2 linked regions of the Drosophila melanogaster genome follow. The protein of the gene in region 2 interacts with the protein of the main gene of each other region in a pairwise test. Each region holds a gene or a part of one and is shown on either strand. Other genes may lie near its edges.

Region 1 (6,826 bases), about 13 Mb from region 2:
CTGGCGCGATGGCTCCAATCTCACTCTCCAAACGGTGGAAAGCAGGCGAAGGAACAGAGCACACCGAGTCACCAAGGTCATGCCTCGGGAGTCCTTCTTTCGCTTCTTTGCTCCGCCGCAGGCCTTGGACCTGTCGCTCGCGGATGAAAAGACCAAGCTGATCCTTGGCAACGATTTCGAAGTGGGCTTCCTGCTACGCACCCAAATCGTCCCGAAGGCGGTGCTCTTTTACACGGGCGACCTAGTTGACAGCCTGAGCGCGGCCTCTCCGGACAGTCGCTCCTTGTCCTCGGAGGCGGAACAGGAGCAGGTCTTGTGAGTGCGACGCGACTAGCTGTTTGCTAAACAAAATTTACAAGTGAATGTGGTAATGATTTCTTATTAAATTCTACAGTTCGGCCAAAGCCAGTTCATCACAAATAAGGTGAACCCCTTCCCCTCCTAGCGCTACTTAAAAATGCTGGTGTAGTACTCCTCCTCCAGGTCGTACAAGTCCATGGCCATTTCGTCCCTAAGTTTCATCAGCTTCTTGTCGCACTCGCTCTGTGTGTTCCTGAACAGCTGCGAATTGTTTGTGATGGCCTCGTTGACCGAGTGAAAGTCGTTGAGGATTAGGTACTGTTTTAGGTCGGCCACCAGCTTCATCAGAGACTCGCCGGCACGGACTATAAAGCGGAATGCATGAAGGAAATGGCTCGAATCTGGTTCCCAGGGAGTGGATTTACTCACCCATGTTGGCCGCGCGGACCTGCATTTCCAGGGCATCCTGTTCGCACTGCGTGGTCTTCGAAATCTGGCTGTGGCTCTCACGGCGCGCCAGCTTGAGTATTTCTGGAGGAGAACACGGTATTACAATCTATTGCTCGGAGCAACTGAGCCGCACTTACCTTCAAAATTCTCCAGCATGCTGCGAACGTCGTCCTTGAGGCGCGCATTATAGGACTTCAGAAGCGCCTCCTTCGACTGGGGCAAAATGGTTGTCCTGGATCCGCTGGCCATTGTCCTAATTCTACCTTAACTTAGTTCAACAATTTATTTTAGACAAACCCGCTTCTCGTCGTTTTTTATATGTACAGTGTGACCACGTATTTTCCGACCATAAATACCGTCCTAACTCACCGACGCCAACTTGACGCAAATTCATTTGACACACATTATATACCAAAGACATGCCGCCCGCCAACTGCAAAGCGTCACAAAAAGTTCAGTTTTCTGGTTAAGCGGTTGGTTAAAATCGTAATAATTGTGTTTGTGCTTAAATATCCTACGTTCGATGGCGTCTTTAAATGCAAGCCAACAAAATGAACTACGAAGTCAGCGACGAAATTCTCGTCGGCCGCTAATGCCACCAGAACGTGGTGAGTCTGCACACAATTTTAAAAATTTAAAAAGAATGGGCAAAGAGACACGCCTGCCCCACATTGAACCCATTTCAAGTGGGCGCCACGCGGCAATGCTAAGGAACATTTAGTTTTAAGTTAAATTCCAAGTTCTTTATTGGAAAAGTAAAGTTAACAGTTTCTACCGTTATAATGGTTCGGTTCAGTTAAATCTTCCGTGCGAGAGTGTATGTGTGTGAACTATAGCGAACAGTGTGAAATATACCAAATACCATGGCTATACTGTTGCGTTATCGATAGCCGATAACAGCTACGAGTTAAGCTGCGAATGTATACAATTGCATATAAAATCTGGAATTTGTGAAAACCGGAGCACGATTACCCACAACGAGGACGACGGAGGATCCTTCCGGCGTGTGATGAATTAATGCTAAAGTCGATCAGCGGAGGCGTTGGCGTGGCATCCACGGAACGAGGTGGTGGCGGAGGAGGCTGCGGAGGAGGTGGAGCAGGAGGAAGCGCCTCTGGGAGCAGGAGTACCAGCGGAAGCGGGCGCGCTAGCTGTGGGCTGGGCTCCAGTTCGATTTCCAGTGGATTGAGTGCGGTGTGCGGATTTGTGACCGGAGCTAGTGGCGGAGGTGGATTTGAGCGGGATCGCGACAGGGACAGAGGATTAGCCAACATCAGCGGTGGCAGCACTCCTGCCGGGATCCTTTATTGCCCCGCTTGTATGGCAGCTGCCAATCAGCAGAGTCCCAGCCAGAATTCGAGTCCGCACCACGAGAGTTTCTTCTTGCGCAGCTCCTTCAAGTCGAGCAAACGGAACAAGGCCAGGAAAAGCGCCTCCACCGCCGGCTGCTTAGACGCCCAGCACATACGGGCGAATCTCCGAATGTCCATGTCCAGTTCAATGAGAAGCTCTAGAGGGAATGGCGGTGGTGGAGCGGCCTCCTCCTCGCATCCTCCGGGCAGCAGCTGCAGCAGCGGACCAGGAGGATCGGGATGTAGTATGGCATATGACGCGGCAAGCAATGCCAGCAGTGGAAGTGGCAGTGGAAGCGGAAAGGCCACTTCCCCGGGTAGCTACAGCTGCAATGCCCTGAACGTGGACTTCACCTCCTACACGGCCACGCATCAGTGGACCAGGATGCTCGAATGCGCCGAGTTCGTGGGCGCCAAGTGAGTTGTGAAGCCATATAGATGAAAATATCTATATTCCCTATCCCTTTCTTCCCAATCAGGCGAAGCAAGCACACAGTGGTGGCCTACAAGGATGCGATGTTTGTATTCGGAGGTGACAACGGCAAGAACATGCTAAACGACCTGATTCGCTTCGGCGTTAAGGACAAGTCATGGGGCCGCGCATGTGCAACAGGAACTCCGCCTGCTCCGCGATACCACCACTCGGCGGTGGTGGCCGGCAGCTCTATGTTCATCTTTGGGGGTTACACCGGCGACATTCACTCCAACTCAAACTTGACCAACAAGAACGATCTGTTCGAATACAAGTTCCAGAGCGCCATGTGGGTGGAATGGAAGTTCTCCGGACGCCAGCCGGTTCCTCGATCCGCTCACGGAGCAGCCGTGTATGACAACAAAATGTGGATCTATGCGGGCTACGATGGCAATGCTCGGCTGAACGACATGTGGACGCTAAACCTCACCGGTGAAAATCAGTGGGAGGAGGTGGATCAGCTGGGCGATCGTCCGCCCACGTGCTGCAATTTCCCCGTGGCAGTGGCCAGGGACGCCATGTACGTCTTTTCGGGGCAGAGTGGCTTGCAGATAACGAACTCGCTCTTTGAGTTCCACTTCAAGACGCGAACTTGGCGACGCATTTCCAATGAGCCCGTCTTGCGAGGCGCTACCTCAGCTCCGCCCTCGCGACGATATGGCCACACGATGGTGCATCACGATCGGTTCCTGTATGTCTTCGGGGGATCGGCGGACTCAACGCTGCCCAACGATTTACACTGCTACGATCTAGACTCGCAGGTCTGGTCCGTCATCCAGCCTGAACAGAATTCGGATGTGCCTTCGGGTAGAGTGTTCCATGCCTCGGCAGTCATCTGCGATGCCATGTACATATTTGGCGGAACCGTGGACAATAGTGTGAGAAGGGGCGACACCTATCGCTTCCAGTTCTCGTCGTACCCGAAGTGCACGCTGCGCGATGACTTCGGAAAATTCTTCCAGGACAAACAGTTCTGCGACATTCAGTTTATTGTCGGAGCGGAGGAGATTCGCATACTAGCACACATCGCCTTTGTGGCGGCGCGCTCGAAGTATCTGAGGAACAAGATTTTGGCAGCCCGGGAGGCACGCCAGCAGCAGATGGAGAAGGTCTACGGGGTGGGCCAGGTAGATGCACTGGCTCTGAATGCGGGCGCGGGCGGGGACCGCGGACCCATGTTGGAGGTGCGACTGGCCAACGCCTCCCCCGAGGCCTTTGAAATCATATTGAATTACATTTACACCGATCGAATTGACTTGAAGGACACTTACAGCAAGAACATCATCATTCTGATCACAGATATTTACCAACTTGCCGGTTTGTTTACCATGCCGCGGCTGGCCCACGGCTGTATCCAGTATTTGGACTACAAGATTAACAAGCTTAACGTGCTGGAGGCGCTCTACAATGCGGATAAGAGCAAGTGAGAGCAGATATAGCCTTTGGATCGTATTTAAATGAAACTAATTTATGTAAACACTCCCCAACACAGTATTAAGATCATTAAGGATCACTGCATGCAGTTCATCATCAAGGAGGAGAACTTCACTGACGTGGTCATGTCCAGTGAGTTTAGCGATTTGGACAAGCCTCTGCTGGTCGAGATCATCCGCAAGCGCCTGTATCCCAGCAAGCTGGTGATAGATACCAGCTATGAAGGCAATATAGGTACGGTTCGTCGATAGTTGACAAATTGGTAGCTGAAGGTATAATTTTTGATTAGGAACCACTTTGGAGATCGATCTGTGTGCCTTTTTGGAGTCCACTGGCAAAGATTTCTGCGACATTAGCCTGGTGCTAGAAGATCATGTGATACCAGCCCACAAATCTGTGTTGTCATCGCGCTGCACCTACTTTCAGGGCATGTTCCGATCCTTTATGCCACCGGACAACACAGTCAATGTGAGTTGAACTTTGTAGAAATCGCTGATTGATAAGTAGTTCCCGTGATAATAGTATACACATTTAAATTGTTGAAGCCAGTATTGATCCTGAGTAACATTCAATTCCGCTCTCACCCAGATCCAAATTGGAGAGATTTCTCCCTCGCTTGAGGCGTTCCACTCCCTGCTGCGCTACATCTACTACGGCGAGACGAAGATGCCGCCGCAGGATGCACTTTATCTCTTCCAGGCGCCGTGCTTCTATGGCCTTGCCAACAATCGGCTTCACGCATTCTGCAAATACTCTCTTGAGCACAACATTACGTTCGAGAACGTGCTGCAGACGCTGGAGGCTTCAGACATCACAAAGATCTATGATATTAAGGAGTACGCTCTCAAGCTGATCGTCAAGGACTTTGCGAAGGTCGCAAGGCTGCCGAAAATAGCCGGCTTGTCGCGCGAACTGTTGCTGGAGATCATACGCGCTGTGGCCGATTCGCACGGCGAGTTTCTCACGCGGATCAATATCAATACAGATATCTGAAAACTGGTGCTGCTCCAGCCGGCATTGCAGTTGTTGCTCGCCTGGTTGCAAATCGGACGTAGCACGTAATGCGGCAGTAGCGGTTGGCAGCGCCGAATCACATAATTTATTTATCATTAAACGATTCATCTCCCATCGATCGCCGCACCCATGCATCTGGTCAGCGATTCTCGACAGACCCCGACCCCATTGAGATATTGCATCAGAAAGAGAGAGACGAAGCGATCGCGACTCATGCAGAAAACCTACGGTATGGCTATTGTTCTTAAATGAGGCGAGCGATGGACAAGCCACCAGCAGGCGCGCTTTGAGTGAATTACTGCAGAGTTTGCATCGCGCATGCTGCCTCATATATATAAACCCTCTATATGCACTCAGTATTAACCAAGAATGCACCTCCAATCGGTTCAAATAAGATCGTATTGGGCTTCTCTGTCTCGAAACTATAGGTTTTGTTAAAACACTTGATCTTTAAACCTTATAGTTGCAGTTTACCATTTGGATACCAATTTTCCCACTTAAGCATCTAGAAGTGAACTTTGCAGTCAGGGAGGTACACAGTCTTTGCTCCAAGAGATTTAAGGACCGAATGGACCTTAAATCACGAAGGTGAGTGTGGGAACACTTTGAAAGCCGAAACCTTCACTTATATATTTTTTCAGATTGAACGCACCCTTGCTTTAACCTGATGAATCCTACTCTAGGTCCTTACAAAGTTGTATATGTTGGAAATATACAAATTTGAATACCCTTGCAAAACTAGCTTGCGTAAAACTGCTTTGTAGTCGAAAACCGAATGTCTAAACATTTCATAATACTAACATTTGGAATGCAGACTAACTTATTTTGCAAGGGTCATAGGCTTATAGTCTCCGAAGTCCGAGGGTCTTCCCTTCATGTTATACTAATACCCAAGTACAACTTACTAGTTGATATAGATCTAAATCTACTCGTTTTAATTGGTATTTAACTATATATATATATATATATATATATATGAAACTGAATGTTATAAGCTAAGGAACCATTAAAGCATCTGACACATCATCCACGTGAAAAATCGCCAAATTTGTTTACGATTGTTTGAATTTACTATAGCGTTGTGTTTTTACTGATTTGCCGGAAGTTCTTTCGACTTCGAATATAAATTTTAATTCTTGTTTCCGAAATTGTGATAAATCAGTTTATTTATGATTGCATTGTGACTATGTTTAAGCAATATTTAAGAATCTTTGGTTTCATTTCGAATATTTTCGTTATATTTTTCGTCGTTTGTTTTAGTTGCTGTCTTTGCTATATGACGAGAATTCAGAATAAACATTATTATTATACACATACGCTAGCACTGTTGATCTGTGTTAAATGGCAAATCTTTGTGGGCTTACCAAAAAAACGTGGCTAAATAATGGAATTCAAGACAAACAAACTGAGCCAATTGTTTTGGGCTGCGTTTTTCCCAGCTGGTTTGGCATAGATAAATGTATTTCAATGGAATTAAAACAAAACAAAGGCTGCAGCCGCAAGTTGGAGCTGCCGTACGGGGGTGGCAAGAACCCGGGAAGCCAGCCGAAACTGTAGCCAAGGCCAGGACAATGACAAGGACTTCACTTTGGGGGTTAGTCCTGCTCAGAGCCGCTTATCAAATGCAAATTACAAAATCAAATATGCCAACGGCAGCAGGTTAGAAGGATCTTCTCTTCGAGATGGAAATGCCACTTACAGATACAACTGACAGTAAGCCGAATTGAATTGAATTGCCATGGAGTCTGGGAAAATTATTTTGCCCAGTCCTGCCTCTCAGGTGGAGTTCAGCCTGCTTCGTGTT
Region 2 (8,402 bases):
GCCCCAAAAATGTCAAAAAATTAAGATCTTCAATGAGTGGTTTGGAAAATAAGCAACTCCCTCTCCAAATAAATACGCCATGAAATTCGTTATTCGTTATTAAGTATTCGAAAATATTTAGTAGCCATTAAAGAAAATTGCTTAGCCAAGAAAAAAAAAAAAGATTAGAGGAATATATAGTTTGTCTGCTGGCTCCATTGTTGCTGGCCTCCCGAAAACTTGATTAGCGCCTAGTAGACGTAGCCACCATTGCTGCCGTACTTGGTGTCCAATCCATTGTAGCCGGAGTAGCCCGAGTAGCCGGAGTAGCCGGTGTAGCCCGCATTCGCGGGCAAATAGGTGCGCGATGGCGTGGCATAGGTTGTGTACTGCGGCACCGCGTAGTTCTTGTAGCTGGACGAGATGATTGGCGAGGCGTAGCTGCCGCCACCCGAGTAATAACCAGATCCGCTCGAGTACGATGGATACGAGGAGTAACCGGAGGAGTAGCCGGAGTAGCCGCCGCTCAAAGGAGGCAGATAGCTGCGCGACAAATGCGACACATCGCCGGCACAGAAGGCCAAGGAGGCGGCGAAGATGGCGAGTACGGTTACGGAGTTCTGCGGACAAGGAATCGTGGGATTAAAAAGCACTGGGAGTCACTTAAAGTATGCAACGTTGTGCTTTAAAGAGGCTTTGTTCTAAATATATGTTAAAATTTAAAAAATTGCTTGCAAGGAGGAGCATTCAATCACGCTCGTCTTGAGCCCTTACCATTGCGGGAACTTTTGGGTAAGCTCGGTGTGTTGCTTGAGAGGATTGGAATTCCTGTAGCTGTGTATGCACCGGATGGACGCTGGCGATCAACTGTTGCTGATCCATCGACCGAGTGTAGTTTTTATACGCTGGCAAGCGCAAATCGCGATGTGCACCCCAGATACTTTACAACTGATGATTTTAACGCCTTGGCGCGACGGACATGTCGACGGCGGACGGGGCCCATTACTCAACGGGCCAGGCGGTGGCAGGCAACCGGACGGCAGAGTGGTCTCCATAGACTCCATAGAAGTCCCAGATGCTCCGAGAAGTTCGTCATGTTCGCTTGTCATCGCGGCTCGTTCGATGTCCCACGACTCATCCGGCATAGAAGCAACAAATTGTCTCGACGTGGAAAAACCACGTTCGCCTTATGGAGTCCATGCACACGGAGAAAATCTAGTGCTAAGCCAGTATTTTTTCTTATTGGAATAAATATACCAAGACAATGATACAATACAATAAGTAAAATTTGATTGAAGTTGTAAATATTTAATTTCGACTGCATTAAAGTAATATGGGTAAGTTGCCCTAGTTCCATAATTGTTCAGAAATATATGTATGTTCGAATTCTTAGTAAAGAAAATTAAATGTAATATAAGCTGCACCTGCTAATTTCTTCCAGTGTATTCCCAGATTTGGGTTTGGCTTCGCGTTAGTTTTGTTTTTACGAGCGCGGCACGCCCCCTACCGCGTGTGAATTCGAACTCGCACTCGCTCTTTTCCTTAATTATACAAATTTCTGAGTGCTCTTCTGGTTTCTAAGCAATTCAGCAATTCGGGTTTTGTCTCTGATTTTTTATGACATTTGGCGGTTGAGGCGGCCAAAACGCTTCGGTCTTGTTTATCTGTCGTTGCTCATAAATCTTGCGGGCATAACCGTTATTAATTGTTGCAATGGGTCATCCAAATGGGTAAATGTTTCTGTGTCGGTTTCTGTTTCGGATCCCGTCGTTTCCCACTGCAATAATTTGGTTTTTTTTTTTGTAAATTTCCAGACACCGCTGACATCATGAACGGGCAATTAATCACGCTGTATTTGGTGCAATCCTTTTGCGATATTTGATGGTCAAGTTTTTAAATTGATGTCGAACGGCGTTGCCACCCAGGTACGGTATTTGGCATGCACTGGAATAAATTGCTGTGAGCTTTTATGATGAAACTGTTTTCAAATTTGGCGCCTTAAAATATGTAGTTTTAAATACCAATTAAACTATTACCAAACGGTTTATATCGGTGTACAACCATCTGGCATCTGGTCACTCCGAAATAACGGTGCTTTTCCAAAGCCCTGCCCTGATCGACGTGTTCCGTTGGAACCGAACGGTTTTCCTCGTTCAATTCGCTTTCAGCTTTCCAAGCTGCAAGCCATACTTTCTGTTTCCCATTCCCGTTTTAATTTCAATTAACCAGTCCTGCGTGTTAATCATCGTTCAAATTGTGTGTGTTTCGTGTTAAATGTGCCAGGCCGAGCACCAGGTGCACCCCAGCGAGCAAAGGATCCGGGTAGAGAGCCCGAAGATGACCGCCAGCCGGCGAGGATTCAACCTAACCTCGCAGACACGCGCTCACCCATCCAGTGGTGGCTCAACGTCCAGTCGATACGGAAATTGCCAGCGAACACATCTGATCATCAATGGACGCCACGTGGCAATCTCGCTGCTCCTGCTCGTGGGACTTTGCGGTGGTACTGCTGCCGGCACGCCGGGATCAGCGGACACGCGGTGCGATGCGGGACAATTCCAGTGCAGAGACGGCGGCTGCATCTTACAGGCGAAGATGTGCGACGGACGCGGAGACTGCAAGGACAGCTCGGATGAATTGGACTGCGGTGAGCATGGGTGGAATCAATGCCGTCGTTCAGCAGGGGGTGGCTTTAAATGGAGAGGGCATAGCTACTATGGAGTCGGATTAACCAGATTTCTTTAGCTATAATTTTGATGGTTAGGGAATCCTATCTAGAGATGCCACATCCCCATATTCCAATGAATTTACTAGTGAGACTAATATATCCAATAATATATAAACGTGTTGTGACAATCTTATATGTAGTTGAATAACATATAATCTTCATTCCAATCCGGATATCCAGACTACCGACTGTGCCGACCGCCACATTGGTTCCCGTGTGCCCAGCCACACGGAGCCTGCCTGGCAGCGGAACTAATGTGCAACGGCATCGACAACTGTCCCGGCGGCGAGGATGAGCTCAACTGCCCGGTGCGGCCAGGATTCCGATTCGGTGACACCGCTCATCGCATGCGCAGCTGCAGCAAGTACGAGTTCATGTGCCAGCAGGATCGCACCTGCATTCCCATTGATTTCATGTGCGACGGCCGGCCGGATTGCACGGACAAGTCGGACGAGGTGGCTGGCTGCAAGCAGGCGGAGATCACCTGCCCCGGCGAGGGTCACCTGTGCGCCAACGGACGGTGCTTGCGCCGGAAGCAGTGGGTCTGCGATGGCGTTGACGATTGCGGCGATGGAAGCGACGAACGAGGATGCTGTAAGTTAAAATTCTTTGTTGGATACTCCAAGCCTGATGCTCTTGAAACATGCGACTCGGCATCATTTCAGTAAATCTATGTGAGCCACAAAAGGGGAAATTCCTATGCCGGAACCGAGAAACCTGTCTGACCCTGAGCGAAGTGTGCGATGGGCACAGCGACTGTTCCGACGGCAGCGATGAGACCGACCTCTGTCACTCCAAGCCGGACTGCGATGCGAAGAAGTGTGCGCTGGGAGCCAAATGCCACATGATGCCTGCCAGCGGAGCCGAGTGCTTCTGCCCAAAGGGATTCCGGCTGGCTAAATTCGAGGACAAGTGCGAGGACGTTGACGAGTGCAAGGAGCAAGATGATTTGTGCAGCCAGGGATGCGAGAACACATCGGGCGGATATCGATGCGTCTGTGATGCGGGCTATCTGCTGGACAAGGATAATCGTACGTGTCGCGCAGTCGTTTACGGCTCTAAGGAACAGCAGCCCCTTCTGCTGTACACCACCCAGATGACGATTATGGGAATGCATCTGCGCGAGGATAACGTACGAAATCATGTCTACCAGGTGGCCGGGAATCTGAGCAAGGTCATTGGCGTGGCCTACGATGGCAGCCACATCTATTGGACCAACATCCAGAACGAAGCGGAGAGCATTGTGAAGGCTAACGGAGACGGTTCGAATGCGGAAATTTTGCTGACCTCCGGCCTGGATGCACCAGAGGACCTGGCTGTCGATTGGCTGACGCAGAACATTTACTTCTCGGACAACATAATGCGGCACATAGCCGTGTGCTCGAACGATGGACTAAACTGTGCCGTTCTGGTCACCCAGGATGTTCACCAGCCGCGATCACTGGCTGTTTGGCCCCAGAAGGGCTTGATGTTCTGGACGGATTGGGGTGAGAAGCCCATGATAGGGCGCGCATCCATGGACGGCAGTCGGTCGCGACCGATTGTCAGCGATAATATCGAATGGCCCAATGGTATTGCGCTGGACATGCACCAGCAAAGGATCTACTGGGTGGATGCCAAGTTGGGCAGCGTGCAAACGGTTCGACCCGACGGCACTGGTCGGCGCACGGTGCTGGACGGCATGCTGAAGCATCCCTATGGCCTGGCCATATTCGAGGATCAGCTGTACTGGTCAGATTGGGCAACGAAGAGTGTGCATGCGTGTCACAAATTCTCCGGCAAGGATCATCGCATCCTGGCCAAGGATCGTACCATTTACGCCGTACACATCTATCATCCGGCCAAGCAGCCCAACTCGCCGCATGGTTGCGAAAATGCCACATGCTCGCACCTATGCCTGCTGGCCGAACCCGAAATCGGTGGTCACAGCTGCGCCTGTCCGGATGGCATGCGGCTGGCGCCGGATCATCGGCGCTGCATGCTAATGGAGAAGCGCCAACGATTGTTCATTGGCCTCGGTCAGGTGCTGCTCGAGATCGAGCACACCGCCTTTGGGCGCCATCAGGTGAGCAAGTCATACACGCTGCCCTGCTTGATCAACGAAATGGTGTACAATCGCATCAATGGCAGCCTGATAATAGCGGACAATGACCAGCGACTGATCCTGGAGTTTCAGCCAGAGTCGCACGAGAGCAACGTCCTGGTCCGCTCCAATTTGGGCAATGTGAGTGCCCTGGCCTTCGATCATTTGAGCAGGAATCTATACTGGGCGGATACGGAGCGGGCTGTGATTGAGGTGCTCTCACTGCAGACGCGCCATCGTGCGCTGATCCGCTTCTTTCCGGGCCAGGAGGTGCCAATTGGACTCACTGTTATGCCCGCGGAGGGCTATCTGTATGTTGTGCTCAAGGCCAAGCGGCACAGCCACATTGACAAGATACCGCTGAGCGGCAAGGGCGAACAGGTGCATGTATTCGAGGACGATCTGGGCGATGATGATATCAAGCTGGTCACCGATTACGAGACCCAAACGATCTTTTGGTCAGACAGCGATCTGGGCAGGATTAGCTACTCGAATTACAGGGTGCCGCACAGCCAAATCTTTCGGGGCAAGCTTAGGCGTCCCTATAGCCTGGCCATGGTGCATCACGATCTGTTTTGGAATGAATTGGGTACGCCAAGGATTTACTGGACGCACAAGAGCAATATGGGGCCGCGAAAGGTGATCGATATAATGGAGAAGGACGATCCGGCCGCCATTATGCCGTACGTGCCTGTGGCCACGCCCAATGGAATTCCGCTGGCCGCCAGCTCACCCGTCGGCCAGGAATCGCATCCCTGCCAGCAGCAGAATGGCGGCTGTTCGCACATCTGTGTGGGCGAGGGACCCTACCACTCGATCTGTCTATGTCCGGCCGGATTCGTTTACCGGGATGCGGGTAACCGCACCTGCGTGGAGGCTCTGGACTGTGAGTTCCGTTGCCACAGTGGCGAGTGCCTCACAATGAATCACCGTTGCAACGGACGACGCGATTGCGTGGACAATTCGGATGAGATGAACTGCGACGAGGAGCATCGGCGCAAGCCAAAGGTTCTGTGCTCGCCCAACCAATTCGCCTGCCACAGCGGGGAGCAGTGCGTCGACAAGGAGCGGCGATGCGACAATCGCAAGGATTGCCACGACCATTCGGATGAGCAGCACTGCGAGAAGTTCGGTAAGCGAAACGAGCTGCACTTGGTGGATAATTTGAATTTGAATACTCTCTCTACTCCACAGACAAGAGCAAGAAGTGCCATGTCCATCAGCACGGGTGCGACAATGGAAAGTGCGTGGACTCGAGCCTGGTGTGCGATGGAACCAATGATTGCGGCGATAATTCCGACGAATTGCTGTGCGAGGCGACATCGCGATGCGAACCGGGAATGTTCCAGTGCGGCAGCGGATCCTGCATAGCGGGCAGCTGGGAGTGCGACGGGCGGATCGATTGTAGCGACGGATCCGACGAGCACGACAAGTGTGTCCATCGCAGCTGTCCGCCGGACATGCAGCGCTGTCTGTTGGGTCAGTGTCTGGACCGGAGTCTGGTGTGCGATGGCCACAACGACTGTGGCGATAAGTCCGACGAACTGAATTGCGGCACGGACTCATCCACGATGAACATATCCTGCGCGGAAGATCAATACCAATGCACGAGCAATCTCAAGATCTGTCTGCCGTCTACGGTTCGCTGCAATGGCACCACCGAGTGTCCGCGCGGCGAGGATGAGGCCGATTGCGGTGATGTGTGCAGCATATATGAGTTCAAGTGCCGCTCCGGTCGAGAGTGCATCCGGCGGGAGTTCCGCTGCGATGGCCAGAAGGACTGCGGCGACGGCAGTGACGAGTTGAGCTGCGAACTGGAAAAGGGCCATCACAATCAGAGCCAAATTCAGCCGTGGAGCACCTCGAGCCGATCCTGTCGGCCACATCTCTTCGATTGTCAAGACGGCGAGTGCGTGGACTTGTCGCGGGTATGCAACAATTTCCCGGACTGTACCAACGGCCACGACGAGGGACCCAAGTGCGCCACCGCCTGCCGTTCGGCATCGGGTCGCCAGGTGTGCCAGCACAAGTGCCGCGCCACACCAGCCGGCGCCGTGTGCTCCTGCTTCGATGGCTATCGCCTGGACGCGGATCAGAAGAGCTGTTTAGACATTGACGAGTGCCAGGAGCAGCAGCCATGCGCTCAGCTATGCGAGAATACCCTCGGCGGCTATCAGTGCCAGTGCCATGCGGACTTTATGCTGCGCCAGGATCGCGTTAGCTGCAAGAGCCTGCAGTCTGGCGCCACTCTGCTCTTCAGCAGCTTCAACGAAGTGCGAAACCTAAGCGAACAGCCCGTTATGCTCAATGTGGCCTGGTCGGCGAATGATTCGAGGATCACCGGTTTCGATCTGGCCATGCACCGGCAAATGGGTTACTTTTCCGCCGAGGACGAGGGCATCGTCTATCAGATCGATCTGCAAACGAAGGTGATTGTGCGGGCTCTGGGTCTGCCCGCACCGACGAAACTCTCCGTGGATTGGGTCACCGGAAATGTTTATGTGCTCAGTGGAGCGCAGGAGATCCAAGCGTGCAGTTTCGTGGGACGCATGTGCGGCCGCATTGTGCACGTGAAGAGTCCCAGGCACGTTAAGCATTTGGCTGTGGATGGCTATCACGCCCGGATCTTCTACATAGTCATACGCACCGAGGGCTATGGCCAGACGAGCTCGGAGATTCACATGGCTCGACTGGACGGCAGTCGCAGGGATATGCTGCTGCAGCGAAGCGAAAGCTTCATGACCGCCCTGACCACCGATCCGCATCAGCAGCTATTGTACTTTGTGGACCAGCATATGCGCACGCTGGAGAGGATTAGCTATAGGCTTAAAACGGGTCCCATGCGTCGACCGGAGATAATGCTGCAAAAGTCCAACGCTCTGATGCATCCATCTGGGCTGAGTGTGTACGAAAATAATGCGTTCATCGTGAACCTGGGCTCCGTGGAGGCGGTGCAGTGCGCACTGTACGGATCCCGCATCTGTCACAAGATCAGCATTAACGTGCTGAACGCCCAGGACATTGTGGTGGCGGGCAGGTCGCGTCAGCCGCAGAAGGCGTCGCATCCATGCGCCCATGCCCACTGCCATGGACTGTGCCTGCAGGCGGACTACGGTTACGAATGCATGTGTGGCAATCGTCTGGTGGCCGAAGGCGAACGGTGTCCCCATGGCTCTGGCAATGAGGTGGCCGTGTTGGGTGCGGTCAACAGCCTGGAATTGGAACATGAACACGAGCAGAACGGTCACTTTCACTGGCTGATGGCACTGTTCGTCCTAGCCGCCGGATCACTGATCGCCGGACTCGGGTACATGTACTATCAGTACCGGCAGCGCGGCCACACGGATCTCAACATTAACATGCATTTCCAGAATCCGCTGGCGACGCTCGGCGGCACCAAAGCGTTCCTGGAGCACGAACGCGCCGAGGCGGGAGTCGGCTTCACCACGGAAACGGGAACGGTGTCCAGCCGCGGCAGCAACGACACATTCACCACCACCAGCGCCACGTCCTCGTTCGCGGCTCAGCAGTTTAGTGTGCCGAATGCGCTCCAGCGACTGCTCCGTCCACGACAGTCGGCGTCCGGCGATCCGATGGCTCAGGAATTGCTTC

Evidence for each region.
Region 1: the proteins of yl (region 2) and Lztr1 interact in a two-hybrid assay, tested with the Drosophila melanogaster proteins (one large-scale study listed by BioGRID).

The regions. Positions count from the first base shown.
Region 1 is NC_004354.4:922,389-929,214, reverse strand, and holds Lztr1 (leucine zipper like transcription regulator 1), read left to right. Parts: upstream 1-1,632; 5' UTR 1,633-1,767; coding exon 1,768-2,519; intron 2,520-2,581; coding exon 2,582-3,997; intron 3,998-4,066; coding exon 4,067-4,242; intron 4,243-4,297; coding exon 4,298-4,476; intron 4,477-4,596; coding exon 4,597-5,001; coding exon of another isoform or gene 5,002-5,070; 3' UTR 5,071-5,610; intron 5,611-5,663; 3' UTR 5,664-6,326; downstream 6,327-6,826. Other genes in the region: CG3708 (uncharacterized protein), read left to right, coding at 1-319; MED22 (mediator complex subunit 22), read right to left, coding at 448-665, 730-831, 888-999. UniProt on the Drosophila melanogaster protein: Inhibitor of Ras signaling. Acts as a substrate-specific adapter of a BCR (BTB-CUL3-RBX1) E3 ubiquitin-protein ligase complex that mediates ubiquitination of Ras. Together with Nf1, plays an important role for normal sleep behavior, mainly during the night.
Region 2 is NC_004354.4:14,191,126-14,199,527, forward strand, and holds the start of yl (yolkless), read left to right. Parts: upstream 1-2,088; 5' UTR 2,089-2,253; coding exon 2,254-2,626; intron 2,627-2,887; coding exon 2,888-3,301; intron 3,302-3,372; coding exon 3,373-5,922; intron 5,923-5,984; coding exon 5,985-8,402. Other genes in the region: CG13403 (uncharacterized protein), read right to left, coding at 231-599, 754-861. UniProt on the Drosophila melanogaster protein: Cell surface receptor involved in uptake of vitellogenins (yolk proteins) into developing oocytes by receptor-mediated endocytosis. May also mediate uptake of apolpp/apolipophorins and their incorporation into yolk granules.